2 linked regions of the Notamacropus eugenii genome follow. The protein of the gene in region 1 interacts with the protein of each later gene in a pairwise test. Links are inferred from orthologs where the notes say so. Each region holds a gene or a part of one and is shown in the gene's direction. Other genes may lie near its edges. The genes, in order: FLII and LRRFIP1.

Evidence for each region.
Region 2: the proteins of FLII (region 1) and LRRFIP1 interact in binary tests that used the Homo sapiens proteins (3 or more experiments, as listed by UniProt). The link is inferred for Notamacropus eugenii from reciprocal best matches to the Homo sapiens genes FLII and LRRFIP1.

What each region holds. Positions count from the first base shown.
Region 1 is NC_092874.1:335,785,281-335,789,189, reverse strand, and holds the start of FLII (protein flightless-1 homolog), read left to right. Parts: upstream 1-1,312; 5' UTR 1,313-1,386; coding exon 1,387-1,449; intron 1,450-3,909. UniProt on the Homo sapiens protein: Is a regulator of actin polymerization, required for proper myofibril organization and regulation of the length of sarcomeric thin filaments. It also plays a role in the assembly of cardiomyocyte cell adhesion complexes.
Region 2 is NC_092873.1:61,352,460-61,356,368, reverse strand, and holds the start of LRRFIP1 (leucine-rich repeat flightless-interacting protein 1), read left to right. Parts: upstream 1-854; 5' UTR 855-915; coding exon 916-1,011; intron 1,012-3,909.

The sequences.
Region 1 (3,909 bases):
TAAAGATTGTATTTTTTTTTTAAAGTAAGGCTATGACTTCTTACCAATTGAGGTTTCTCAGCCACTTTTGGGGTGCATTAAGAAGACCACCTGATTTTTCCCCCCATTTTCTTTTGGTATCTTCCTCTCCCTGAAGCATCTAAGCAAGTTATGCCCTCACTGCTTTCAAGATCGTATTGTTTCAAGCAGTTTTACTTGTGTACGATCTAATGTAAGTATCATTCCTACTCCTTCAGTATAATCACATATGGGAGACTGAGGTATCTGGGTTAGAATGTGGTGGTTCCTCTGCCCTTGCTGATGAATACATTGTTGCAGAATCTGACAACTTTGTTTCATTTTACCTTTGTCTTTCTGCCAAAGAGACTCCCACCCCTTCAGGGCTGGGTAAGTCATATTCCCCAGCCTTTTGGGATGAGGATCTCTCTTTTGTGCTGGGGTTGGCACAAGCACAAGTCCCTAGGGACCCAAAGCCCCTACTCAAAGGGATTTTGGGCCTCAGGGAACCAGCCCAAGGGACCTGAGCCCAAGGAATCACCTTTATCGGAGATTCCAGGGCTCTGGGTTCCTGAAGCCCCTCAGGGCTGATTCTTCAAACATCCCGAGTCGCTGGGCTTGTTTCCCTTTTCGTCTGTACATATCAAAAGCAATTGGGATTGAAGGGTGCCCGTTTGGCGTCAGTTAAGATTGTAGGCTCTACTCCTTAGCAAAGGGTACTCCGGAGCACTAGGCTTGGTGGTTCATAGACTATCACTGACACCTGGGACCTGTGTGATCTTGGGAAAATCATTTCTCGGCCCAGGTCTCAGTTTCCTCATCTGTAAAGTGAGGTAAACTAGATGGCCTCTAAGGTCACTTCCAGCTCTGGGTCTACGATTCCATAACCTCTGAGCCTGTTTCTTCACCTGTAAAAAGAGGAGGCTGAACTTCCTCATCCACATGGTCCTTTGCAGTTCTACATGGTTCTTTGTGAAGGAAGGAGGCCTGGATTAAGCATTTATTGCATGGGGTGCGTACCCATATAAATGTAAACCGATGTGAAAACCAGCTTTCCTGCGCCTAGGCTGACTGACACCGCCCCCGACTCCAGAGTCCCCCGAAGCCAGAGACCTGGGTTCAAATTCCACCTCGGATTTTGGGCGAGCTCCTTCCCCTTCGCTGAGGCCCTGCGCTGCTCCTCCTCTCTCGGACCACAATCTAGAGCTCCCAGCTTCCTGGTTCGCCCCGGGCCGGGCCTGCGCGAGTTAAAGGGGCGGTGCGGGGGTTGGGGGCGGGGTAGCCCGGTTGATCCCGCCCCCCAACTCCCCACCGGCCCTGCCCCGCGGCCGCCCCACCCCAGGAACCGTCTCCAGTCTCCGGGAAGCCGCAGCCGCAACCTCCGCAGCCATGGCCGCCACCGGGGTGCTGCCCTTCATTCGGGGCGTGGACCTCAGCGGAAACGACTTTAAGGTAGGCTTGGGGTGGGGGCGAGGGGCCGGCGGCCCCCCTGCCGGGCCTGTCCCCCAGCTGCACGCCCACACGGCCACCGAACCCCCAGGGCTTGGGGAACTGTTTTCAGGCCCCCCCAAAGACATGATCCCTCCGCCCTTCCTCCGTGCTCCCCTTCTGGGGCGGGGAGTGGGTGTATTTCACTAGGGGCCTGCCGGACCAAGGGGAGAACTGCCTGTTTCCCAGATCTGCCTCCCATCCTGCGGCGGGACGGATACTCCGTACCCTAAGGGTCCCAGGATCATAGATTTAGGGGTGCAGGGCACCTTGGAGGATCCAAACCCAGTGCGATACAAATGAGGAAACTGAGGCCCAGGGAGAGCCTTAAGTGACTTGTTCCTGAGTCACACAGGTAGCAAATGATAGAGCTAGAACGGAACCCAGGACCTCGGACTTCAGACTGGGTGCATTTTCCACCGAACCGCCCAGTTTTGAGTGACCTTCCCTTCCCTCACACTAAGATACACGGGTGCTCAGGAGCCCCTCGGACCCGCTCCACAGAGCCGGTCCTTTAGGGCGGGCACCACTCATCCAATGGGAAGCACCCAAGCTGAGAGCATGGAACATCGGAGCTGTGAAAGACTCTGGAGAGTAAAAGGGGGAAGGGACCAGCCTTCCCAGAGAATCCAAGACTCTTGACTTCCCAACCCAGGGCTAAATCCCACTGCTCTATTACGTTTCGTCAGGAGGAGGGTCTAGGCCTTCTTCCTGTCCCTCATGTGGCTCTCATCCAGCCAGGCCCCTGTGGAGCCCCCAAGCTCCCTCTGGTTCTGCTTAAGTAACTTCACTTGGTAAGAGTTCTTTTAAATGGGACCCTCTTAGACCTGTTGTCCTGCTTCAGTCATCCTCAGCCCTCACCCCCAAATGAGAGACCAAGTGACCTTTTAAGGACACTTCCCACCATCACCCCTACTTTTAAAATGAGTCCAGACTCTTAGTTCATCTGCATCATATTACCTAGGACAAAAATCAATTTGTCAGGTGCTGAGTCTACTCAGGGAACTTAATCAGAGATTCTTGGGAAGTCAAGAAAATATCCTGGATAACCAGATAGAATGTAAACTCTAAGGGAAGGGAGGTTTCATTTTTGCTTGGCTAGCACACAGGTGCTTGATAACTGCTTGCTGACCAATCGATTGATTGATAAATCAGGGCCTTAAGCTGGGAAGAAGTAGGTATGGCCAATGCAGGGGATTGGATATTATTGTGTGTGAAGAGACCTGTTTATAATCCCTGGGCCTCAATCATTTCCTCCTCTGTGGGTCACAGGGGTTCTGAGGTCTCTTCTTTCTCTGATAGTCTGTGGTTCAGTCTTTGCACAGACACATTTTTCTCTTTCCCCCCTGAGATAATCATCTGTCAGCCCATTAGGCAGGAACGTGTAAGGGCCATCTTAGAGGCCTTCCAGCCTCTGAGTGAAATGATCTCCGTTCCTGGGATGTTAAGTATTAAAATATTAATATGACTCACAGTTGGGATCTGGTGATGCATTTTCCCCCAGTCTTGAGCTTTGAGAGACTTGAAGAAAAAGAGTATATATGTATGTCAACGTTTGTGTGTTGGGGAGGTGCTGGAGAATATGCATATATGTATGAGTCCCAAGATCTGTGTGGATGGATCTGGGAGGTTGGTCTGGGATCTCTGAGTATTGTGTCATGTTCTTTTTTTTTTTTTTTATTTTGTAATGTTTAACAGTCATGTTCTTTTCTGAGAGTGGGGCAGAGCAGGAGCTAAGCATCAGAGGGGAACTGAAAAAAATATGCCTTTCTTAGAAATTGACTCAGGATCTAACCTCATTGGTGTGTGGAATTTCTAAAAGTAGAGGGCTAGGGTTAGGTCTCTGGAGGCCTTGAAGGTTCAGTGATAATAGGGATAGAATCAGAGGAATGTCTATAAGGATCTCTCAGAGTTTTTTTCTGTCCCAGAGAGCTGAAGACTTCAAAAGTGTTTTTGTTTTTAAATATTGACTCTGTCTTTCCAAATGTAAAGGATAGTGGGGTGGCATAGTGGAGAGAGCACTGAATTTGGAGTTAAAGGTTTGGGGTTCGAATCTTGGCTCTGCTACTGACTTTAGACAAATCAGTTAACCTCTCTAGGCCTCAATTTCCTCAACTGTAAAATGAGGGGAGTGGATTAAATGACCCCTGAAATTGTTTCGAGCTCTAGATCAGTGAGCTTGTGATGTATCAGAGGTACTGGGAAGACCCACTCTTACCAGAAATACCACCATTAGTTAAAGAGGCAGTATTAGACTGAGGGCAGGAACTATCTTTTCCTTCTTTTTTTATCCCCAGCACTTAGCACTGTGCCTGGCACATAGTAGGCTCTTTCCCCCCACCCCGTTTTCCCCTATGATTTTATTTTTTCTCAATTACATGTAAACAAAAACTTTTAACATTCATTTTTTAAAATTTTGAGTTC
Region 2 (3,909 bases), on another chromosome or scaffold:
TCATTTTGGAAGAACTCTGGTTGTTAGGACACTTTCACAAGAGAGTGATGGAAATTCTCTACCTTCCTGCTGCCTATCCCATTAGCATACAGCTAGAGTTTTAAAAATGCTTTAAATAAAGCAGCACAGCATGCTGGGAAGACAGATGACTTCAGAACCAAGCGGGAATACCTGGGTTTTAGTCTCTCCTCCAAGAAACAACAACCCAAGTGACTGTGTTCACTTCTCAGTGCTCTAAGCAACTCTGAAGTTCATAAGTTGCAGAGAAGGTGCCAACCTGCATTTTCTTAGCGAGTTTCTATTGCACGACCTTAAAGTTTTCCCATTTTAACTTCTTGGAAAGTTGTTAAAATTTGTTAAAAATGTTGACTGGGATATGAATGCACAAAAAATATGAAATCTCCACACAAAATATTAAAGCAAGCTCAACTTAGTGAAGATTCTTAATGTCCCATACAAGCCTCTCCTCTGCTCTTCAATGTATAAGGACATGCTCACATGCTCCTTTTACTTCCTATTTCCTGTGTCGATATTTTAAAAAATTTGAAATAAAATTAAAGTAAAAACCACAGTTTTCTGCCATTCCCAAGGTGATGGAGAACTCACTGCTCTCCGTCCCCCCCGGGCAGTCCGCTGCACGTTGGGACTGCTCTCGTTGGTCGGATGCTTTCGTGGGCACGCCTGCGGCCCGGCCGCCCATCACTACTGGAGGATGATGGGAAACTCCCTGCCTTTCTCCCGAGGCCTCCCAGCCCGCGGCGCGGTCCCCGGCCCCCCCGGCCCCTATGGCTGACGTCAGGACGCCCAGGCGCGGGGCGGGGCTGGTCGGGGGCGGGGCGGGGCCGGCCGGGGGCGGGGCGGGGGCCAGCTGCGGAGCCAGAGCCGGAGCCTGGGAGCCCGGGGGGAAGGCGGCAGATGGAGATGGGCACTCAGGGCTCCGGGCGCCGCAGGCTCCCCCAGCGGGAGCGCCTCACGGCGGAGGACGACACGCTCAGCCAGATCGCCCGCGAGGTGGGTGGGTGCGCCGGCCGGGGCTGGGGCCGGGGCTGGGGGTCGGGGGCTGGGGCCGGGGCTGACCGTGACCTTCGCCGGGCCGCCTGTGCCGGCCGGGCGCGGGGACACACAAAGAGCCCGCCTGCGGCTTCCCTGGACGTCTAGCTCGCCCGGCCGGAGACTGGGGGCGGCCGCATGGCCTGGAAGGCCCTCTCCAGATCTAAGGTTCTGAGCCCGAGGAGCCGGCGGCGCTTCCATCTCCCCGGTCCTCAGTTTCCCCATTTGTAAAATGAAAGGGCTGAATTAGATGGCTTGGGAGACCCCTACCAGCTTTAAGCCTCTGAGCCCGAGGCCTCAGTTTCTCCCTTTGTAAAATGAGAGGATTTCACTAGAAAGCTCGGGAGGCCCCTTCTAGCTGCAATGTCTCTTAAACTCGCTGGCCCTCTGTTTCCCCATCTCAGAAATGAGAGATTTAGACTAGATGGCCTCTGGGTCCAAATGTGGCTCTCCTTACCACCTGTGTAGTGGAGTGAACAGTGGTTAAATCCAGTTTAGCTCTTTTTAATCTGTACAATTAGAGAGCTGGACCCGATGCCCCTTGGGGTCCCTTTCACCTCTTAAATGCTAGATCCTTTGGGCAGAAGGGTTTGTCTTTGAGAAGAGTGGGAGGCTTGCTGCTAGCTGTCAAGCAAGCAAGCATTTATGAAGTGCCTACTGTGTACCAAACATAGCACTAGACACTGAGGATAAAGAGCGGAAAATCGCTTCCTGCCTTCAATGACCTTGTATTCAGTCTGTCAGTCAACAAGCCTTTATTTAAGGGCTTACTGTGTGCCTGTCACTGTGCTAAACCCTGAGGATACAAATATTAGGAAAAAGAAAGACAGGCCCTGGCCTCTGGGGGCTTCCATTCTGCTGGGAAAAGACTACCCCTAAAAGGGAGGGAAGCTGGCCCGGGACTCTCTAAGTGGATATTCTAGGAGGAGTTGTCCCATCTTCCCACCTAGAGGTGACAAAGCAGTCAATTCTCTTCTATCTGATTGGCTTTCATTCTTATTATCTAATGACTTCGTTATTTATTATTTGATGACTGAGAATACAAAGGCAAAACTGAGGCTGCCCCTGCCCTCAGTTAACCTCATTCCAAGCAGATGCCACTTCTCTAGCCTACAGGACTGGGCACCAGCCTCCCAGGTCATTTTACAGATAAGGAACTGAGGCAGAGGAGGAGGCAAGTGGCTGCCTCAGAACCTCACAGGTAGAGCATTGGCAACCCCATCCCACCTCGTTAGAGCCAACTCATGATTCTAACCTCTGTGAAAAACCCCCTCCTCTGTGAGGCACTGTGGCCTTAGTGAGGTGTTGGCCTCAGAGCCTGGAAGACCCCAGTTCCAGTCCAGCCTGCCTCATCCTGCCTCTGTGACCCTGAGCAGCTCATTCAATCTCTCAGGCAGCTGCTAGGAATATAATTGGTGGAGGAGGCATGGCCTCCCTTGGAGAGGGAGTTCCTCATACCAGTGAATTCACAGGTCTCATAGCTTTCCCCCTGGGAGCTTTTAGCTTCCTTTGCATGTTAGTGGTCTCTCCTCAGATTATCCAAAGTTTACAACAAAGTAAATACTCGAGATCCTAGAATCATAGATTTAAAGCTGTAAGGGACCCTAGGCATGCCCTCCCTCCCCCAGGGCTCCTGGCAAGCCTCAGATGCTTCCTGGACTTTCCTCCTCATGCCTCCTTCCTCCTCTTTCTGATAGGAGTTGGAATGCCAATCTCACATGGAGGGTTGTTTGGGAGAAAAAGGGTACTGGACAACAGAGGAAAAGTGTAGCTAGAGAGACAGAGGTCTCACCGACCTCGAATCCAGTAAGGCTTCTAAAACTGCTTTGAAAGTCACAGAGGGTAGGTTCTGGAGGTAGAAGAACCTGGGTCTAAACTCTGTCTGACTCTTTCTGGCTTTGTGACCATGAGCTAACTGCTCTCCTCTTTAATTCCCCAGGAAACTGGCTAGGCTAAGTAAAAGACCAGTAGCCAATCAGCATTGGTGAAAGGAGTTTTCACACCAGAAAGCCTGTGATGACTCAGGTCTCTTAGACCTGAGTGAGAGTGAGGGCCCTCTGGGCTGCACCACACCCAGCTACCAGCATGGACAGTTGTACTAGGCCAACCTTTCTTCTGCAGGGTGGCCAGAGTGTGGGAGCCCTGAAGAGAAAGAGCTTTGGCAAATGTGACGTGGGAAGGAACAGCTCTCCTCAGGTTCCCATGTGGGGGCCAGGCTATGCCTTGGCCTTCAAGGGCCAGTGATGACTTAGAGGCTTTCATATTGGTCAGGTCTGAAACTATTCCAGCTATACCCTTAGTCTACAACCTGCCTCCCAGTGCTGAGCTGAGCCCGGAATATGGTGATGGTTGCATGCAAGGTTCTTCTCAGACTTTCTAGTGGCAAACTTTTCTTGCTGGAGCTCACGCTTTTGTAGGAGATGTAACCCACTTCTGCGTCATTAAGGCCTTGCTGGGGCCTGTTCATTTCCCTTCAGAATGGTAGCTCCTAATTGAATACTTTTAAAGGGAAATGTTAAAAATATCTATGCCGAGGCCCAGGGGAAGCCTGTGTGCAGGGGCACACATGGGGTCTTTCTTCAGTGTGTTTGTAACTGCCCCTCCCAGCTGTGCAGATTCAGGATTGGGTCATCAGGAGGGGCCACCATGGGTTTCTCTCCAACCCCAGCTCCCCCTGTGATTTTGCTGCGTGCCTAGCACTGTGTGAATGCTCAAACAATTAACAGACAACTCTTCTCTACCCATAAGCATTCATAATCAAGCCTAGTTGTCCTGTTCTAGCTTGGATCTGCTTCCAGTGTGACAATGGAATGCTTTGCGTGTCTTTTCCTCCTCTTAGATGAGGAGCTGAGGGGCAAG